2 linked regions of the Rhinolophus ferrumequinum genome follow. The protein of the gene in region 2 purifies or fractionates together with the protein of the main gene of each other region. This does not show direct contact. Links are inferred from orthologs where the notes say so. Each region holds a gene or a part of one and is shown on either strand. Other genes may lie near its edges.

What was found.
Region 1: the proteins of HTRA2 (region 2) and ARMC8 purify together in Homo sapiens (affinity purification with mass spectrometry; 5 studies listed by BioGRID and IntAct, with this or other methods). This does not show direct contact. The link is inferred for Rhinolophus ferrumequinum from reciprocal best matches to the Homo sapiens genes HTRA2 and ARMC8.

What each region holds. Positions count from the first base shown.
Region 1 is NC_046300.1:37,365,488-37,375,990, reverse strand, and holds the start of ARMC8 (armadillo repeat-containing protein 8), read right to left. Parts: upstream 5,131-10,503; 5' UTR 4,555-5,130; coding exon 4,510-4,554; intron 1-4,509. UniProt on the Homo sapiens protein: Component of the CTLH E3 ubiquitin-protein ligase complex that selectively accepts ubiquitin from UBE2H and mediates ubiquitination and subsequent proteasomal degradation of the transcription factor HBP1.
Region 2 is NC_046296.1:17,527,606-17,538,546, forward strand, and holds HTRA2 (serine protease HTRA2, mitochondrial), read right to left. Parts: upstream 4,712-10,941; 5' UTR 4,690-4,711; coding exon 4,184-4,689; intron 4,085-4,183; coding exon 3,880-4,084; intron 3,795-3,879; coding exon 3,600-3,794; intron 3,363-3,599; coding exon 3,294-3,362; intron 3,100-3,293; coding exon 2,994-3,099; intron 2,870-2,993; coding exon 2,800-2,869; intron 2,123-2,799; coding exon 2,027-2,122; intron 1,926-2,026; coding exon 1,760-1,925; 3' UTR 1,728-1,759; downstream 1-1,727. Other genes in the region: LOXL3 (lysyl oxidase homolog 3), read left to right, coding at 20-263, 361-476, 557-693, 780-891, 1,065-1,138; lipid droplet-regulating VLDL assembly factor AUP1, read left to right, coding at 5,069-5,118, 5,200-5,337, 5,417-5,947, 6,208-6,280, 6,375-6,448, 6,690-6,756, 6,854-6,956, 7,090-7,209 and 3 more; ATP-dependent RNA helicase DQX1, read left to right, coding at 8,860-9,153, 9,411-9,604, 9,992-10,376, 10,700-10,933.

The sequences.
Region 1 (10,503 bases), on a different chromosome or scaffold from region 2:
AGACAAGCGGAGGCTGTTTGTGCAAAACAGCTCTTATTTGGAATACCTTTCATTCCTAGCTAAATGGTCCCAAGGATCATAGCAACACTGCTCAGTGAAGGCAGCTGTTCTCCAATTTCCAAAAAGTAACAGGAAATTTTCCTTTGTTAATAATTCCATATCTTTACCCAGAAACCAACATGACAAATGGCACTACAAAATAATTGCCAAATCAGAAATCAAAAAGATACAAGTCAAAAATCACTGAAATTCCTGGCCCCCGGCTCTGTTTTAAAATTCTCAATGAGAATGAGAGGAGATAGGAAGGCTAGATCTCTCCAAGAGAAATCGAAAGACCCTACACAAAGGCATTTCTAATTCTTGGTAAAGCTTAGAAGATGTCCTGAGCACTCATCGTCTGAACTCAGGTGGCAATCTTTCCCTAGAGAGACAGCAAGACATCCTGAAATGTACAAGGAGCATCTCCTGCTCTTCACACATTGCCAGTGAAGATTAGGAAGTTCATACTGATTAATGTATTTTAGGATCCCCTCCAGACATACCCTCTACTTATTGGTGCCTTGTAAAGTGAACTAATGGCAAACAATCAAGAGATGCTGAATTCATGCTTATAGGATAGCTGGGCTTAACTTCTACCTATTGTCAGTTGTCTATGTAAGAGAACAATCAATTTGCAGCTTGAGGCCAACAAAATAGACTAGTTCTGTATCTTGACTGTGGTGGTGGTTACAAAAATATACACATGTGATAAAATAATATGTACCTATACACATACTTATACCACTATTAATTCCCTGGCTTCCATATTGTACTATAGTTATATAAAATGTAACCAGTGGAGGACACTGGGTGAAGTATACACAGGAATCTCTCTGCAACTTCCTGTGACTCTGTAATTATTTCAAAAAGATTGTTTTTTAAAATGCAATTGATGTAAAAAATCATCCAACAGTTTGGGAAACATGAGAGAATTTATAAATTTGTTGAAAGGGGTGATGTAACGCTAAGTGCACACCAAAGGAGGATAATGGGTGATCATGGTGCAGCCTGGAAAGAGCTGGAGTTTGTCCAACTCCCCAAAATATAGTCCAATCAAACATTTATTGAGTACATAGTACATGAGGACAGTGCTATAAATAGTAGCAGGATTAAGAAAAATTAAATTAATTTACTCTCTAAGCAGATAAAATAGAGTAACTATTAAAGGCCTAAGAGTCTCTGAAAAAGCAGTTCCCTTTGCTTTTAGAAAAATAAAATGCTCTTCTATTTTTCTAGTTAATTCTTACTCATCCTTAACTCTCAGCTCATTGTCACATCTTCGGGGAAACCCTCCCTAACCTCACTGCCCTCCACCGTAGATCATATTCCCCTATTACCTGCTTATAACAGCACCCTATATTTTTCATTCATAACACTAACTGCCATTCATAAACAAAGAACTGTGTGACCATTTGAAATCTACTTCTCCTATTAGGCTAAAATCTCCAAAAGGGCAGACACAGGTCTGTGTAGCTCGCCACTGTATTCCCAAACCCAATGCCATGTAAATGACAGAAGCTCAAAGCATATCACGTGAATAAATCTATACAGAGCTATAATTCATGTGTACAAACAAGCAGGCTGACAATAAGAGTTACTGGGGTTTGGGTGAACCCTAGATCACTTCAACTTGAGAAAGCCAGTTTACAAGGGATGGAAGGTCCACATAGAGGATAAAGAATCTTACATCCGAAGCTGAGAATGAAATGTCAGCCCTTCAGCAATAAAAACCCATTAAAAAACTGAAAAAGGGCATGGCATATCCAATGTATTGTACAGAAAAATTAATGTAGAGAATGAACTTGAACTTGAACTGGGAGGGTAAGACACTCGAGGCAGTAAAAAATACTTGCAAGGACACTGTGGTAATGCAGGCCCAAAATGATAATGTTCTGAATGAGAGGGTGACCATGGGAACAGACAGATGTGAGAGACACCAAGAGTAACGAGCTAACAGAATGTAAGGACTGATTAGATACAGGAGCATGAAAAATGGAAAGAGCCAGAGATAATTCAAGGGGTTTACAGTAAGTTATCAGTTAAAGATACCATGTTTCCCCGAAAATAAGACCTAGCCAGATAATCAGCTCTAATGCGTCTTCTGGAGCAAAAATTAATATAAGACCCAGACTTATATTATAGCTGGTCTTATAATAAAATAAAACCAGGTCTTATATTAATTTTTGCTCCAAAAGACGCATTAGAGCTGATTATCTGGCTAGGTCTTATTTTCGGGGAAACATGGTAGTACCATTAACAGAAATGGGAAGTCATGACTAAGTCTTCTTAGGAGATGCAATGTGTTTTGTTGAAAGTGATGGATAACATCCAAACAACTGAAGACGTGACATTAGATGGACAAAAGTCAAGGCTGGCAATGTACATGTGTGAGTTGATCACAGTTATGGTCACAAGAGTGAATAAGACCACTAGAAGGAAGAACCTATAACAGGCCTTGAATAAAAACCCTTTAGAAACCATTTGATTTGCCCCTCACACGAATTCCGTTGAGCAGCGAGTCATTCAGACTGTGAGCTCCCTGAGAGGCATATCTGATCTCATCCTTGCATTCCCTAAAGTATATGTTACAGGGTGTTGTACATAACTGGTGCACAATAAGTACCCTATTAAAGAAATCAATTATTTTAAAGATAATTTGATTACTATTTCCTGTTCCACTTGCACGTTGAGTTTCAAAAAGTGACGCCCTGGGCAGTACTTTGAAATGAACAGGATTCACTTTAAATTAGTATAATCAGTGAGTTTTAAGTCACTTATTCAAATCTCTGATTTCCTAAGGCTCTAGGACTGAAGAATGGACAGACCAGACTTTTGGACTGTAAAAACTTAAAAAAAAATAAGAATAATAAAGCCCCCAATGAGACTAGGGCTAAAGTAAATCCCCACTAGAAGTAGAGAATACTCTTCAAGAAATTTTTTAATAAACTTAAACAGGAAATATTATTTACTGAAGGCATGAAACAAATCAAAATTTTCAATTGTATGCACTATACAAGTTAACAAAAATTAAAAAATTAAAGAAGCTTCAGGTGAAATAAAAGACAGAGGAAGTAAAAGGGAACTGAGAACAGTCAAGACACGTACTTTCTTAAAAAATGAGGGGAAAGTCGTTGGCCTGCTCTCCCACAAAACATTCCTGGCTATTATAGTCAGAGGTGGAGTAATCGGCTAATCTGATTCAATACTTAGGTGAACAGTATTCCCCTAGTTGCAGTTTAAAAGTAAGAAAAAGGACTGCTAAAGTGGATTAGGAGACAAATTTATTGACAGCTCCCCTCCCCAATTAAATTATCAAGGTTGCAGTATACCAAAATGCTCTAACCCTGAATGACAAGCAAATATCCTAGGTGCTTCAAGATATCTGAGTGTGTTTGTGGGAGAAGTTAGGGAAGAGAAAAGAAACCAGTTGGAGTCACAGACCCTAAGAATCTGACTAGTCGTCTGTAACCCAACTACCCCCTCAATATCAGACTGACTCTTCCAGAAGTCTAAAAGATGGTCAACCAGTGTTTGCCTGCTTGTTTCCAGCAATAGCAAATGGACCGTTGGTAAACGGATCACTCAGAGTTGGATGGATCTAATTTGTTCCAAAACCCTTCCAAGTTATCGCCCAGTAACTTTCACCTCTGGTACTGGTTCTCTCTAGAGTAACATAATGAAAGTCCTGTTTTGTTTTTATTTTTTATGCTAGGGAAAAAACACACACAAAAACTAGGTATTACTTCCTGGCATGTCAATACGTTCTCTTCTTTCAATAATAGGAAAATTTGATCTGTTGTTTCAACGTCTGACTCCCCATGAAGAAAAAAAAAAAGAAATGCTAGGCGAAGGTTCCTTTAGATTCAGAGCTGCGACCTCCAAAGTAAAGAAAAGGGACTTAAATGACTACATACACTGGGAGACGTTGCAACTGATATGAAATCCCCGTTGCCAAGAAGCTAGCTGCTCTAGCCCGTGCCCGGGTGCTGAGACGCGACAGAAGCCACACAGACCTGGCCTGGCATCTCGGAGGCTGTGGAGCCTGCACCTCTTCTTGCCAAAGCCTCGGGGGGCAGAGTGGGCGCTAGTTCTCAGGCCAGCGGCAAGCCCGGCGCCTTACAGGACAGAGCCCTGCGCCCCAGAGAAGCGGCACCACTAAGAGAAAGGCTCAGTGAAGCGCCTGGCAAAGCCAGAGCCGCGTCGCCAAGCCGGCTGCCCGTACGCCCAAGCACCCCACCCGCTGGACGCCGTCCTGAGAACCGGCACGGGTAGGAGCTCCGGGAGTTGGAGACGTCTCGGGCTCGGCCGGGGTTCCGTCTATCACTCCCGCCCACCCTCTCTCACACCCCGGCCCAAAGCTGAGCCGGAGGCGACCCTAAGGGGTGGTGCCCAGGAGACACGCTGCGTTTTGGGTGAATGCTGCGAGCCGGGCCCGAGCTCCCGGGTGGGCGGCTGCGGCGGGTCACTCACCGAGAGGACGCTCATGCGGATTGGGGTCTCCAACAGGCACGCCATCTTGAGCCTTCCCACCCGGCTACAGCCGGCGCCGGCGCGGGGGCCGGCACTTTCGACAGCGAACTCTTGGGCCAATGACAGACACCTCTGCAGAAAGTCGGGCAGGTAGATGAGAACGGAGCACGGTCTACACACCGCTGAAGTACGGCCAGGGCCCGCAGAAGGGAAAGCAAATGGAAACCGCGCCAGAAGCCTCCTTACGAATCGTCCTCTCAGAAACAGCAGCTACTCTCAGCCTGGGTTAGAGGTGGGAGCGGGCAGCAGTTTCCGCATGCGCAAGGAAGATCTGCCGGCCCCACCTGCCGCTCGCGGTGGGCGGAGCCTCAGGGGCGGGGCCTCGCTCTGGCGCTACGAGCCTCGCAGACTGGTTCGTAGCAGTTACGAGTTCGCGTATTCATATTACGCAAAACTGGTCTGTGGTGCCACATACATAATTTGAAATTCACTTTTACATTCATTATCGCTTTCTTTGCACCAAACTCCTAGTGTCATATGTCTACTTTACAGATGGAGAAACCGTGATCTCAGTACTAGGTCGTCTGCCACCAATGAGAGTGTTTCACGATCCAACACTGACGTTTGACCTGCTTTAGCATTGTCTGCCCTATCTGTTTATTCTGGTGGTGTGTTAAGAATAGATACTCTAGAGGCAGAACGCCGGGTTTAATCCTTTCTACTTCATTTATTAGCTGCATTACCTCCAGCAAGTTACTTAACCTCCTTTAAGTCAGTTTTCTGTTTTGAGGATGGAGAATATAAAGCTCTTAAAAGTAGAAAGCGTTATTATGTCAGCGTTTCTCTAGCCTCTGAGTCAAGCAGAAAAAAAAAATAGGGCAAATGTTGGAGTAATTCACACCAAAACGCTCCGATAACTGAAGCCAAATAAAAACATGCTTCTAATATAGTATTGTTGATTGATTAATTCAGCTCTCCACTCCGTGTGTGTGTGTGTGTGTGTGTGTGTGTGTGTGTATACAAAACTGCTCTGGACTTGGCTGGACAGGTTTCACCTCCGTGCTGTTTGCAACCAGTAAGGTTTTCACAGGATGGTTGCAATGAGCCTGTCACATTATTTGTCTTCCTTCCATTTCTATAGCCACTCCGTAATTCAGGCAGTTATTATCTCTCCCCTAGACTAGAGCAATAGCCTTCCAACTGATCCTGTAGACTCTAGCCTCTCCTTCACTTTACTCCTTACTACTTTCCTATCTTCCCCTGTACATGGTTTCTAAATTTATCATAACATTAATTATCCTTGCTTATGGGTTTGTGTGTCCCTAACAAACTGTTGAGTTTCTAGAAGGCAGGAATTTCTTTTTAGATTTTCCTTCTTCTACAGCACTGTTTCCCAAACTTCATTAATCTGCATACCATCCACACAATCTTTGCCAATCTGCATCCAGGTATTATTACTCAGTGTTTTTCTTTAAAGCCAATTTCAACTCATTAAATAAGCCTCATCCTAAACCGTAGTACTCTGTAAAGTCAAGTTTATTGTGTTGCTTATTTTTATTCTAGTACACATTAACATAATAACCACAAAAAAGTTAAAATGTCCATCCATGTATTACCTAAAATCATGTCATGTACTGCATACCACAACAGAGCAGAGCATAACACACAGAGGTATCAATTGAGTATTCAGTTGACATTTGTATGATATGGAGTTCTTCTAGCTGTATTTGATCCGCTTCATCCATTAGCTCAAGCAATGTATACCTCCGAGGTATAGGTTAGGTGACTCCTCCCCCATGTCTTCATGCATCTCTCTATTCTTGCCACTTGAACATAGCATCTCCAACGATATATTGTAACTTTTTTTGTAACCATTTATTTGTTTGTTTCCCAATTATACACTTTGGGGCAGGAACTAGGAATTTTACCTTCTAGATCTTTTATCTCACTACCTAGCATAGAACAGTCACTTAGTAAATGTTTGTTGAATGAAGTTTGGCTTAGTTTGGGCACCCCCAAAGGCAGATCCTGGGACAATGATTTTGGTGCTGATAGTTTGAGAAGTTTCTGTTTCCAGGGAACAGAACTGATGGGTAAAGAAGAATGAGAAAAGAAAGAAAAAAAGTCAATATCAAGGTTCATTGTTGAAGTCACTGCTTATTCCTTGAGGACCTCTGAGAAAACATACAGAATGCTCCCCTGAATATCCCTCTTGAGGTTGGAGCATTTATTCGCTACTCTTGTCTTGTACTGGTTGAGAGTTTTACCAGGGCTGTTAACTCCCTTCCCTCCTGAATTGTACTTGTGCACAGAATAGAGAGGACTTCCTTAACCTGATGTAGAAAAGCAGAATCTGTATGCTTGCTTTTGGGGTGGGATACAGGCAGCATGAATCTGAGCTTACAAAAGAACCATCATTACAGCTGTGGGTGAAATCAGAGTGAGGAAGGGCTAGGGAATGTGACTCAAGGCATCCAACATCTCTGCTACCCAGGCTTTCCTGTTTTATTTCCAGAAGACTGATGTGACTATTTTACAAGAAGGAAGCATTGATTAGCAAGTTCCTAACCTTGAGAATCAGGAATCAAAATTTGCTGCTACATAACCTTAGGTACACTCTTCAAACCTAAGTAATGAATAGAAATTGAGGGGGAGTAAGAGATTTTGATTCAGCCTCCACATACCAAAAACAAGAGTTAACTTTTGCCCTGTGGGGTGGAACGGGAAATATCCACACTGATTCCCCTGCAAATAAGAATGAAATTTCTCCCCATCCTCCCTTGACTCTTATCTGAAAGCAATATTAATTTTTGAAAAAATAATGAAAACAAAGGGTGAGTTTAATTTTTTTTTAAAAAAGTAGAAATGCAAAACATTAAGTAGCCAGAAAGAAATCTGAAAAGTATTTATAAATATCTAAATGGAACTGCCAAGATAAAGAAACAGCACCATATTTTTGAAAGTAGAAACATACCTATGCAAAAGGAGCAAAACTTAAAAGTGTAGAAAGGTAGATGTAAACCAAAAACTGAATGGCCTCAAAGGAATTTAGAAGAACCTTTAAAAAGATTTGAAGACAAAGGAGCTTCTTCAAATAAATAAAAAAGAAAATGGACTAAGATATCTATAGAAGCGATATAGTTCAGTTCAACAGACATGAACTGTGGGTTTACCTGTGCACACATTGTATGAGGGATTCAAAGTGGAGTCGAGATGTGGTTTCTGCCTTCAAGCAGACAGGAATAAAAGTGAGACCCTGAGTGGTCCAATAATTAGCTTAAGGTTGCTCAGGGGGTAAGAGGCTAAAACCATTTGAATCCAGGCTTCTCTGTTTCAAAGTCCTTCCCAGAGCTCTTACAGTCCTCTGGGATCCTACAGGACTCTCCCACATGGGACAACTGAGCACTCACCTGAGTAACCAGCCAGTTAGAAAAGTCTACAAGGGCTTTGCAATGGGAAACAATGCATCCATAATTCATCAGGTGCTTGGAGGATGTAAAATATGTATATGTATAAAGCAGAAGTAGTAAGCTGTTGAAAAGCCTTTTTTATTTTTTAGAAACTACAGTAAAAAAGGAAAATGATTTTAAAAAAATAACTGAATTACTGTTAAGGTAGAATTCCAAATTCCAAAGATAGATGCGATGATGGAATTTGGAAGCCATCACTTGACAACCATATGAGTTATAGTCATATCAGGCAAGGCTCATCAACGGATGCTAAAACTAATTGGTGAAAATATGGTGAGAAACAGGATTATGTGTACAGCCTCAAAGTATCTCCTCACAAGTTACTAATGATAGTAGAGAAACTTGATAGATACCGCTTTATTCAGATGATTATAATGAATATCACGAGTAATGGGATAAATAGACACCATCATATGATGCACTGAGAAGGACACAACATCACTTCTGTGGTATTCCTGTCACAAATGCACGCGTGCAATCATGAGGAAATATCAGCAAACCCCAACGGAGGGACAGTCTACAAAATTACACATCCTTCAGCATTGCTGTGACAGACAAAAACTGAGGAATTCCTCTAGATTAAAGGAGACGAAAGTGGTATGAGTACTAAATACAACTTGTGATCTAGGACTGAATCCTGGGTAAGTGAAAACATTTTTCTTTTTGCTGCAAAGGACATCAATGGCAAAATCTGAACAAAATCTGTAGATGAGGTATCATTGTTAATGTCCTCGTTGTGATAATTATATTATTGTTAGGAAGGTAATGCCCTTGTTCTGAGGAATTACAAGGGGAAGAATTTAAGTGTAAACAATATTGAGTTGCTGTGGATTAAGCAATTATTTTTTCTTTAACAATGAAAAACGGAACACATTTTGAGAATTTAAAAAAGAGAGAGAGGACTAAGGATCCTGGAAATTTATTCATTCGAGAAAATATATATACTGGATACTTACTATGTGCCAGCCACTGTGCTCAGAAGTGGTAATACAATCATGAGCAAGATAGACACCTTCCCTGTTCTCACAGAGCTCCCAGGCAAAAGGTAAAGAGAGACAAGTGAACAAATCATTAAATGTGGTATGATAAGTTAAAGGGTATGAGACGAAGGGAAACCTCAGCAGGAGTGAAGTCACAGGAAGTCCTTCTGGTGCAGGCAGCACCCAAGCTCTGACCTGAAGTATAAACAGGAGCAGACCACGCAAACCCTGTGTGCTACTCTACATAGACTCTGGCTTGTCCATAAACATTAATCGAATTGAACAATTAAGACACCACTTCTCTATACTTAGATGTGGGAACTCTTATAGAGAAAAATCACAGGCCCAAAATGGCATCACTGGTGATAAAAGCCAATGACACCAAACCTAGAGTTAATACCCGATCTAATTGCAGTTTTATCCTCTCCCAGAAATGTAATCTTAATCAAATCATCTGGAATTTTCTGGTCAAACACCAGTAAGGTAATCTTTGGGCCCTCAAAGAAAGGCCCCATTCCCCCAAAGACAGAAGAGGCAATACGCATGATAAAAACTCTTGCTTTTTGTTGTCTTCTCCCCAAAAAAGAAGACGTCTGGTCTAAAAATAATCCTTTCTTTTCTTTTGTCTATAGCGCTCTTGCCCTACCCTTCTTCCAATAAAAACCTTCCTTCTGTACAACGACTTGGAGTAATCTTACAGGTGCTAGATGGCATGCTACTCTTCAAATTTACTCAGTTGAATTTTGTGTTTTAACAAAACACTGGCAATCCTACAAAATTAGTGCAAAGACAAGAGCTCCAATTATTTATAGGAAAAGAGACACTATAAAATCAGCAGGTCTTCACATGGCTATATAATCTGGATTGCCCAGGTAATAAAAAGACACCCCTTCCCACCCCAAAGCAATGGTGACCACGTTACGCTGATGTGTTTCAAAATGGAGAAGCAAAGATAACAAGGTAGGCAAAGTAAATCTGATCTTTTCACGATTTATAATACAGGAATGGAATCTGGAAGTCTTAAAACCTATAAAGGAGAGATATTGTGTGTGTGTGTTTTCTGATGAAATCAGAAAGTCCAGTGAAATATCTAACAAGTTTCCGATTCAGAGGCTAGAGACACCACACAGAATTCTTAGGCCTCTGTGATATTTGCCTCCATTCAGTTTAGTTTCACCACCACAGACGGGATCTCTCCTTCAATGGTTTTACTTAGTGTGCTGCCATCAGGTGGTGGTAGCTGCCATAATCACCTACGTAGTTCTATTATAAAATGCAGATAGTAAGGATGGTGTTTTTCCTGATGTTTGTAACATTTTATAACCTGACTTAAAAATTTATTGCCCAAAATTTCCATTTTTCACTCCCTTAATCATAAAGGTTTCTGCTCAATTATGTCACCTTAAAAGCATGGTCTTCCATAACCACCCTATATTCATTCATTAAGTACTTAATATACTGGGTACCTACTATGTGCCAGGCACTGTGCATTTCTTATCCCCTTATTCTGCTATATTTATTTAATTTTTTTTAATGTTTTTGTT
Region 2 (10,941 bases):
TCCCTCCCTCCTGGCGCAGCCGCATCCGACTTGCTGCTGCACTCAGCACTGGTGCAGGAGACCGCCTACATCGAGGACCGGCCCCTGCACATGCTCTACTGTGCTGCGGAAGAGAACTGCCTGGCCCGCTCGGCCCACTTGGCCAACTGGCCTTACGGCCACCGGCGTCTACTCCGATTCTCCTCGCAGATTCACAACTTGGGCCGAGCTGACTTCAGGCCCAAGGCTGGGCGCCACTCCTGGGTGTGGCATGAGTGTCATGGGTGAGAGGATTAAGGAGAAGGGCAAGTCCACTGGGGACAGGGTTAGCCTACTGGGGGCAGGAAGGAAAACGGGTCCCCTTGTCCCTTATCCCCACAGGCATTACCACAGTATGGACATCTTCACTCACTATGATATCCTGACCCCCAACGGCACCAAGGTGGCTGAGGGCCACAAAGCTAGTTTCTGTCTGGAAGACACCGAGTGCCAGGAGGGTGAGTTGGGGCCTAGAATGGACTACAGTATCTCCAGCCCACAGCCTCGCCTCACACTGACACGTGCCAAATCCCTTCAGATGTCTCCAAGAGGTACGAGTGTGCCAACTTTGGCGAGCAGGGCATCACCGTGGGTTGCTGGGATCTCTACCGGCATGACATTGACTGTCAGTGGATTGACATCACAGATGTGAAGCCAGGAAACTACATTCTGCAGGTGCCTGGGGTTTGAGATGGCCTGCTGTTGAGGGAGGAGTATTTATTAAAGACACCTTTGGATCATGTTGCCTTTCTCCCGCTCAGGTGGTCATCAACCCCAATTTTGAAGTGGCAGAGAGTGACTACACCAACAACGCGATGAAATGTAACTGCAAATACGACGGCCACCGCATCTGGGTGCACAACTGCCACCTTGGTATTTGGTGGGCAGAGCAGCAGGAAGACTGGGGGATGGGAGGGAAAGGCCTCATTCTCTTCTTGTTGCTGTGCATTCCCCCCGACCTCCGGAGCCCCCAGCCTGTCCACCTCTACCCCCGCTTCCCCTCAGTGGGTCTGTTCTCCTGCCCAAACTGCCCATTCACCTTGCAGATGATGCCTTCAGTGAAGAGGCCAACAAGAGGTTTGAGCGCTACCCTGGCCAGACCAGCAACCAGATCGTCTAAGGTGCTACCGCCCACCTCTGCAAACCACCACTGGCCCCTAATGGCGGGGGTCTGAGGCTGCCATTACCTCAGGAGCTTACCAAGGAACCCCTGATGTCAGCAGGGCCGCCACACTCGGCCGGTGTGCGCTATGGATGTGGAGCTGTCAGGCAGAAGTTACCGCCCTCCTTCCTAGGCCAGCTGTCTGGATCTGTGGCCACACATGGGGAATCCTGGCTCCCAAGCCCAGCGCTGAGCTGAGCAGGCCACAAAGAGCAGCACCTGATTAACTGGCCAGAACGAAAGCAGCAGCAGCTCATTCTCTTGAAGAGGGAGGTCAGAATGGTCAGCTGCAGTATCTCCCCAGTTCAGGAGTATACAGCTTTACCTCTAGCCTTTGTGTGGGGAAGAAGATCAGCGCCTGCCCCCTCATTTTTGACTATAACATGTTGCTAGGTATAATTTTATTTTATATAAAAAGTGTTTTTGTGATTCCTCGGAGCCCAGGGATTGGTGCTGGTGGTTGAAGGGACCTGCCCCCCACACTGGTTCATTTAATCCTCTGTCCAGGTGCCCTCAGAGCCTAGGCCAAGAAAGCAAAGTGGAAATCAGAGCAACAGCCTAATACTCTTGCTGATCCATTCATTCTGTGACTTCAGGGGTCACATATAAGGTCAATGTTTCCGGTCCCCGCCGGATCCGCACTGCCAGCTGGGATTGGGTTCGAACAGCTTCATAAATATCTTCAGCATTTTGTACCAACTGCTCCCCAATGGCCAAGATCACATCGCCCGGCCGCAGACCAGCCCTATGGCGAAAGGTGGACAGAGAGAAAGGAGGGAATAGATACCCCAGTTCAAGGGTACATGCGTGTCTCCGCCCCCCACCTCAGTGCAGTGTCTCCCTCACCGGTGTGCAGGGGAGTCCAGGATAACTTTATGGATGAGCACGCCGTGCTGAACATCAGGAAAGCTTGGTTCTCGAAGCTGTAGTTCAGCAAGGATGCTGGAAAGACACAGACCACCCTGTTATCCACACCAAGATGCCCTCTCCATCTCAGGTTCACCTCAAATCTCTCGTCAACACACTGACAATTGTATGCACTAGGTACTCCAGATAGTCAATTCATTTTCTGCCTTCTAGTAGTTAGGAAGTGGGACGTGTATACAAAAGTTACCTAATTCCAAATGACACAGTGTTAAATCAATAGCACGAATCTCATTCTAAAATCCTAAGAGAAGCTTTAAGGAGGGAGTAGAACTGAAGCTGAGCCTAGAAGGATGGGTCTGATATTTAAATATATAAAACAAAAACAACAAAAATAAAAACCTGGGAGTAGGAAATCAGGTTGGCTGAAACAGAATACATTCATGTTAAGAAGCCAGGTCAGGAAGGTTGAATTGGAGACAAATGGAAAATGGCCCCTAAACACCAGGTTAACAGATTGAAGGTTTTAAATCAAAGCAGTAATAGGATGAAATCAATCTGGTGGCAGGTGTGCAAAATGCAGCGTGATGAGAAAGTCAAGATGACAAGAGAGGACAGCTCTTCGGATAGCTCCAAGTGTGAGGCAATTCACCACAGATAAACACAGAATTGAGAACAAAGCTCAAATGAAGTGGCAAATGCACACGACTGAGTACACTGATGGTCCTATGTGTCATTATCCTTAAAGCTCATACCTGGGAGTCAAGGTCAACATCATCACCCCAATGTATCGGCGCTGGGACCCACTGATTCCAAACCAGGAATCTATGATAAAGAGAAAAATGAGCCCCACCCAGCTACATTCTTCCTTCCCCTCCCTCTCCTCCCAATACACCCCTCTCCAGCAAGGCCCCATGAATGCCCTTCCCACAACTTAAGCCAGGCTCACTCTTCTTTTCCCCACGATGCAGAAACTCTCGAAGGCGATCAGAAGGGATGGCAAAGGAGATTCCAGCTGTGACCTTCATGGTATTCACCCCGATCACCTCCCCATCCTGCAGGGACAGAGCCCACTGTTCCCTAGCCCAAACAAATAGTTGGAGATGGGGGTACCTGAACAAGAGTAGCAGGGAGTGTTGGGGAGTTTAGGAGATCTGGTTGGGTTCTGGGAGGTAGCCAACAAGGGACTGTTCAGAAACTTGACCAAACATCATTGAATTAGGGAAAACCCACCCCGACCCACACTGACCTGGGCAGGGATTCTTGGAAAGGATGACCCACTCACCAAGTTAACCAGGGGACCTCCAGAATTTCCAAACTGCAGGACAAGGAGAAAATATGGAAAAGATCCAGGGATTCTTATGCCTGGGGGCATAACCAGGATGTAGGCATTTTCTCCAAATTCTTTTCCCAGCCTATGAATGAGTGGCCACATTTTTGTAGCTCAACCTGAATATATAGGCTCATCCACCGTCTCTCCCACTTGGTGCCTGCACCACACAGTCTATACCCCTCCCCCAACCTAGACTGTCAATTCTCTCATATCAGGACGCACATCAATAGCTGCATCAGTCTGGATGTATTCCACATTGGTTTGGGGGAGGCCTAGGTCTCTGGCTGGACGCTGAGCAGAGCTGACAATGCCAGATGTGATCGTGTTCTGCAGTGCAAACGGACTTCCCATGGCAACAACAAACTCCCCTTGCCGGACATCCGCTGAGCGTCCCAGGGGCAGTGTGGGGAGAGGTTCCTACGGGAGAATGGGTACAAGGGACCTGTCACCTGGCGATGCAAGCAAACAGCCCCAACCAGACCCGGCCTGCTCGGATCCCCACCTTGGTCTGAATCCTCAGCGTGGCGATGTCTGCCACGGGATCCACAGCTGTGACCATGGCCTCATACGTGTCGCCGCTAGGCAGCCTCACACGGACTCGGCGCCGATCAGCTACTACATGGGCGTTGGTAACGATGAGCCCGTCAGCAGCCACCACGAATCCTGAGCCATTCGAGATAGGCACTTCGCGGCCTGAGAAAGGGTGCCTGGGATAGGGGGAAGGCACGGTGAGGAGCTCGTACCCCTCCTGCTCGCCCGCCCTCTTGCCCGCGGCTTCGGTGCCTCCAGAACTACCCCACCGTTACCGGCCCAAGATCTCGATATAAACCACGGCAGGTGCCGTCTTCTCCACCACGTCTGCGATGAAGTTGTACTGGCTCCGGGGAGAGGTGGGTGGCGAGCCAAGGACAGAGGCAAGGACAGCCGGGGAACCCCGACCCCCGCCCCACAACAACAGCAGCACTGCTCCTCCAGCGCCCAGTGCCACCGCTAGCCACACGCGCGGACGGGCTCCAGGGTTCCCTGAGTTCTCCCGGGTCTGGGGACTTGGGGTCCCCGCAGTCAGCCGTGCTCGGGAATCCGAAATCCCGGACGTCAGGCATGTCCGTGGTCCAGGGACCCCTACAGACAACCGGACCCGGAGCCTGGAAGTCCCATAAGTCATTAGGGCCCGAGGATCAGGAGTTCCTGACATCAGTAGGGCCCGGAGGTCAGGGGTCAACAGGGGTCCCTTCCCCCAGCGAACCCCCCCCAAAGCCCGCCATCCCCAGAGTCTCCAGCCTGCACCCCGCCCCGCCCTCAGTGCAGCCATCAGCTCCGCCTCGGCTGCCTCCTCGCCCGCCCTACACAGAGGCGGCGCCCTGGATGGACGTGAGCTGGCGGACCGTGGGACGCGTGGCACGCTGGTACCTGAAGTCCTCTAGAAGTGCACGCCGGGACCCGGATTATTCCGGGAGGCCGACTCCGCCCCCGCCCCGTGAATGCCGGGAATTGTGGTCTCTGAGGGACGCGAGCACTGAGGTGTCCCAAGGGCCCGCGAGGCATGCTGGGGCCGCTAGCCCTTCCGGGGCGCCTCAGGATTTCGGGTCCTGGCACCCGAGGCCCACGCCGGAAGACTCCTCCTTCCCAGAAGCCCCTGCGGCGGGGCACGAAGATGGCGGCAGTGACCAAACACCCCTAAAGCAGCCGCGATGGAACCTCCCCCGGCACCGGGGCCGGAGCGGCTCTTTGACTCGCACCGGTAAGACTCCCGGCGGGAAGAGGCCGGCTCCCGCGTCCACTCGGCCTTCGGCCGCCCGATCACCCCACCTCTTGCCCCCAGGCTCCCGGGTGACGGCTTCCTGCTCCTAGCGCTGCTGCTCTACGCGCCCGTCGGGTTCTGTCTCCTTGTCCTGCGCCTCTTTCTTGGGATCCACGTCTTCCTGGTCAGCTGCGCGCTGCCAGACAGCGTCCTTCGCAGGTTCCGACCCGGGAGCTCGGGGAGGGTCAAGGCTGGGCCGGGCCGACGGCCGTGCAGTCAGCACTGCCTGCGTCCCCAGGTTCGTGGTACGGACCATGTGTGCGGTGCTAGGGCTCGTGGCCCGGCAGGAGGACTCCGAACTCCGGGATCACCGCGTCAGGGTCCTCATTTCCAACCACGTGACACCTTTCGACCACAACATAGTCAACCTGCTCACCAGCTGTAGTACCGTGAGTGGGGGGCGAAGCCGAGAGTGCCACGGGCAGTTCCCTGGGGCCCAACATAAGGCTTCCCTCTGCCCGCCCGGGCTTCCCTTGGGGACCACGAGATACTGCGCCTTAACGCTAACCCCGCTTCTCTACCCCAGATGTCAGTTTTTATCACTTCCCAACATTCTTCTTGCTTTCTCTCTTCCCTGTTCCCAGCCTCTACTCAATAGTCCTCCCAGCTTTGTATGCTGGTCTCGGGGCTTCATGGAGATGGATGGGCGGGGGGAGTTGGTGGAGTCACTCAAGAGATTCTGTGCTTCCACGAGGCTTCCCCCTACCCCTCTGCTGCTATTCCCAGAGGAAGAGGCCACCAATGGCCGGGAGGGGCTCCTGCGCTTCAGGTGGGTGAACGAACACAGGTATTTGACTCTGACTGGGTAGGTGGTCAGGCGTGGGGGGCCCTTGGGTTTTTCACACTTCTTCAGCCCTACCCCCTCCATTTCTAGTTCCTTTCTGTCCACTTTTGGTTCCTTCCCCTGAATCCCTATATTCCTCATTCATCTACTTGGTACACAGTTTGACAGTTTTCTGTTTTAAGTTAGATATGAGCTACTAACTGGACTGGCTGAAATCCCGTCCTATTCTCTCTTCCCTCTTCTAGTTCCTGGCCATTTTCTATCCAGGATGTGGTACAGCCTCTTACCCTGCAAGTCCAGAGACCTCTAGTCTCTGTGGTGAGTGTGTCTTGGATAGGGACTCCCCGGGGCTTTGGGATGAAGCTTCCCAGTCCCGGCCTGACTTAGACCTCACTTCGTGCTTTCCCCTCAGACAGTGTCAGATGCCTCCTGGGTCTCAGAACTGCTGTGGTCACTGTTTGTTCCTTTCACGGTGTATCAAGTAAGGTATTAATTGTCTTCACTTTTTGGTGGCTGGGAAAAGCTCACCTCAAGATCAAGGAAGTAGTTGCCTCTGCCCTATCCATTTGCAGATCTTTTTAATATCAAGTTTCCAACACAGAGGCAGTACAAAGTATTTATTCTCTCCCCACCCTCACCACCATAGTTCCATGAAAAGAGGAATCAAAGTGGGGAAGAGGGTGACTGCCCCAGCTGCCCTCAACATAGCCCTGATTGTTTTTTTCAGGTGGCTCCGTCCTGTTCATCGCCAGCTGGGAGAGGGGAATGAGGAGTTTGCCTTCCGTGTACAACAGGTGGTAGCATACAGAAGCAGGCTGGAGGTGGGGTCTCTCCTTAGACGGGGAGGAAGGCTTGAAACCTTGACATTTCCAACCTTCCAATTCTTCCTAGCTGGTGGCCAAAAAATTGGGCCAGACAGGAACACGACTCACTCCAGCAGACAAAGCAGAGCACATGAAGCGGCAAAGACATCCTAGATTGCGCCCCCAGTCAGGTGTGTGGTCGCTGTACACAAAGCTTTTCGTTTTTTTCCCAGCCTATTATGATTTCTTCCCTATTCCTGTACTAGTCAGACTCTCCTTCCTACTCATTCTCCATTCACCATATTTCGGATTTCTTTTTTGCAGCCCAATCTTCTTTCCCTCCCTCCCCGGGCCCTTCTCCTGATGTGCAGCTGGCAACTCTGGCTCAGAGAGTCAAGGAGGTTTTACCCCATGTGCCACTGGTCGTCATCCAGAGAGACCTGGGTATGGGAAAGGGTAGCCTCACAAAAGAAGACAGGGACAGAGAGGACAAATGGGTGGTGAGGGAAAAGGATGAACAGCGCAACAGATCCCCTTTCCTCCTTCCCTTCTCCCCAGCCAGGACTGGCTGCGTAGACTTGACCATCACCAATCTGCTTGAGGGGGCTGTAGCTTTCATGCCTGAAGACATCACTGAGGGGACCCAGTCCCATCCCGCAGCCTCTGCCCCCCAGGTGAGACCCAGGAAATGGTCCGATCCAAGACTTGGGGTGGGATGGGGCACTCTACATACTCCCTATCCCTGATGTCTCTTTTTTGATCCTGAGACCCTAGCCCAGTGCCTCTCTTGCAAAGTAGGCATTCGATGCGTGTTTAATGATGATGACTTCGCAAGCCCTCTGACATTGTGATCACCTCAGTTTCCCAGCTCTGGCCCGGTGACCCCTCAGCCCACAGCCCTAACATTTGCCAAATCCTCCTGGGCCCGGCAGGAGAGCCTACAGGAGCGCAAACAAGCACTATACGAATACGCAAGAAGGTGAGGGGCTTCGAGGACAATGGGTAGGAAGGGGCAGGTTGGAGAAGGAAGCTAATTACAGAACTACTATGACAAAGCCCACACAATGTCTTCTCCCTATGTCCCACAGGAGATTCACAGAGAGACAGGCCCAGGAGGCTGACTGAGCACAGGATGGTACCCAGAGCCGCAGGACGGAGACTGGGGGCAGCCCTCACCCAACTCACAACAGGCCTGATGGGTGGGTGGTAGAAAGGGAGGGATGGGCCTGCCCCCAGTGTCACATTAAATTCAGGGTTTTCACTCAAGGTCTCTGTTGCCTCTCTGGGTCTCAAAAGCCTCCTGAGCACGTTCCTTTTCCCTTGGTGGGGGGGGGGATAAGGTGGTCCTTGTAGGACTGTGGGGGGATGGTCAGAATGGAACTGTCTGAAATCACCTCCTCGTGTCAAAATGAGTGATATTAAGGAAGTGTAACAACTGAAGACCAAGCAGCAACTGGACCTAACTGGGGTGTTCAGCCCAGGTTTGTGCAGAAATAGCAGCAAAACTACACGTCCCAGGATGCCTTTTACAGTACATGGTGTCTGTAAAGTTAACACATGCTCAGTCGTTGCTGGAGCCTGTTTTCTATAGGCTCCTGACTAGGTTAAATAAGGTGGAGCAAATGGTTCCACCCCAGAACCAGTCTTAAGAATTATGTTTGAGCCAAGCCCCAGGGTGGGGCCGGAACTTACCTTTGTACTTAGCGCTGGTCAAGGTTGGTGGGAACTGGCTGGGCGGGTCTGGAACTGGCTGCCATCGGGACACGTCTCAGAGCTGCAAGCAGGTTTGAATCCAGGATCCTTGTGGCCCTGCTCCTCAATTCCAGCCCCTTATTCCTTTTCCTATTCCCTCCCACCCCCAGGGACCTTCCCACGGGTCTCACATAACTCCTGTTGCCGCTGAATTACAGAGATTCACAGAGAGACCCAGGATTTGTACTACCTGGCTACAGGTTAATAGTCCCTTTTGATAGTCCCTTACTTGGAGACTCAATTCTCCACCGTTTCCTGGCAGGCAAGAAATGCTGGAAAGAATGGATTCCAGTGCATTACCAGCTGAGGGTACACATTAGGGATCAGGGCTGAGGTGGTAAGATGGTACAAGGTTTTAATGACTACCCCACCTTCTGTAGGTCCTGCCAGTCAGCCACCATGGCCTCTCAGCTTCTCAGGCTGGCAGAAGAGTCTGGCCTGAGCCCTGGGGAGTCTGAACTGGCTGTGAACCCTTTTGACGGGCTCCCCTTCTCTTCCCACTACTACGAGCTTCTTGAGCAGCGCCGAGCCTTGCCTATCTGGGCTGCTCGCTTTATCTTCTTGGAGCAATTGGAGAGTAGCCCCAGTGGAGTGGTACTGGTGTCTGGAGAGCCTGGCTCTGGCAAGAGCACCCAGGTGGGGGGGGGGGATTCTGGGAGTAGACAGGAGGGAGGGGCCAGGGAACTGGCCCTTCCCTGGCAAGCGGGGATTGGGCTGCCAGGGATTATGGGGGAGGTGGGCAAAGGGAGTCTGTTAAGGCTGGCCCCAGGGTGGTAAAGGACCAGGACACTCCCCCCAGAAAGAAGACATTAAACTGGCCATAGCTCCCCTAGCACTTCTGACTGAAGTCCTGTGTCTCGCTGACTGATTGTCCTTCCCTACCCCTACCCCAGATTCCTCAGTGGTGTGCAGAGTTTGCGCTGGCCAGGGGGTTCCAGAAGGGCCGGGTAACTGTCACTCAGCCCTACCCTCTGGCAGCCCTGAGTCTGGCCCTGCGGGTTGCTGATGAGATGGACCTGACCCTAGGTCATGAGGTTGGATATAGCATCCCCCAGGAGGACTGCACTGGTCCCCACACCCTGCTCAGGTGAGGCCTCCTACAGGCCCAACCCACATCTAATTCCCCTTACCCACTAGGAATAAGCCCAGTCCTCCAACGTCGCGCCATACTCCCCCTCAGCCCAGCTCACCCTTTAAATCATGCATTATGCAACACGGAAGCCCTTTAACCCCAGCCCACCTCATTCATCTTCACCGTCATCACAAGTCTCCCTTTCCCAGCTGGAGTACAGCTTACGCACAGTGTTAGTGAGGTTGTGGGTCACTGTTACAGGTCCACAGGCTTAGGAATCCGGTCAAAAGGTCTTTCTGACCTTCACTATCAAAATCTAGGCCCCCTAGGGAGAAGTTCCCCTGACTTCTGGGGCTGGTCAGTGTCCACACTGACTCCTCTGCTCACTGTCAACATCAACAGATTTTGCTGGGACAGGCTGCTTCTTCAAGAGGTGGCCTCGACCCGGGGTACTGGAGCCTGGGACGTGCTGGTGCTGGATGAGGCTCAGGAGCGGTCAGTGGCCTCAGATTTACTCCAGGGGCTGCTGCGAGATGCCAGGCTGGGAAACCTTCCAGACGACCCCCGAGTGGTTGTGGTTACTGACCCAGCCTTTGAACCTAAGCTCCAAGCCTTCTGGGGCGATCCTCCTATTGTACATGTACCCAGAGGGCCTGGTAGGTGTCCCACTCCCATCTACAGGGACACTGTCCCTACTGATCGAGTGGAAGCTGCCTGCCAAGCTGTGCTTGAATTGTGTCGGAAGGAGGCTCCAGGAGACGTGCTGGTGTACCTGCCCAGTGAGGAGGTAAACAGGCTGCCGCTTATGCCGTCTTCCTGTCCCGGGGAATGGGAGCACTGCTTGTTAGGAACACTGAAGTTCTAATATTCACTCTCTGTTGGGGTTCCAAGGGAAAACTCATGGATTTCAGGGTTAAGAGGTCTACCCCCCTCTCTGATTCCGTCTAATGCAGAGATTTGTGATTCAGTGAATTCCTGAAATTATAATTCCCCCAACTTTGAGGTTGTGCATTTTTTCAGAGTGAAAGGCCATAGCTTTCATCAGTTTTTCAAAGGGGTCTGTGATCCAAAAAGGTGAGAACTGCACTAATGCCCCACCCCTCTCCTCAGGAAATTTCCCTGTGCTGTGAATTCTTGTCCAGGGAAGTGGGGACCCTGGCTGTCCCAGGGCTTCCACCACGGGTGCTGCCCCTTCACCCAGGCCATGGTCAAGCCGTTCAGGCTGTGTACGAGGACACAGACTCGGGTGCCCGAAAGGTTGTGGTCACTCACTGGTTGGCTGACTTCTCCTTCTCCCTCCCTTCCATCCGACATGTCATTGACTCAGGACTGGAGCTTCGAAGCGTGAGTGA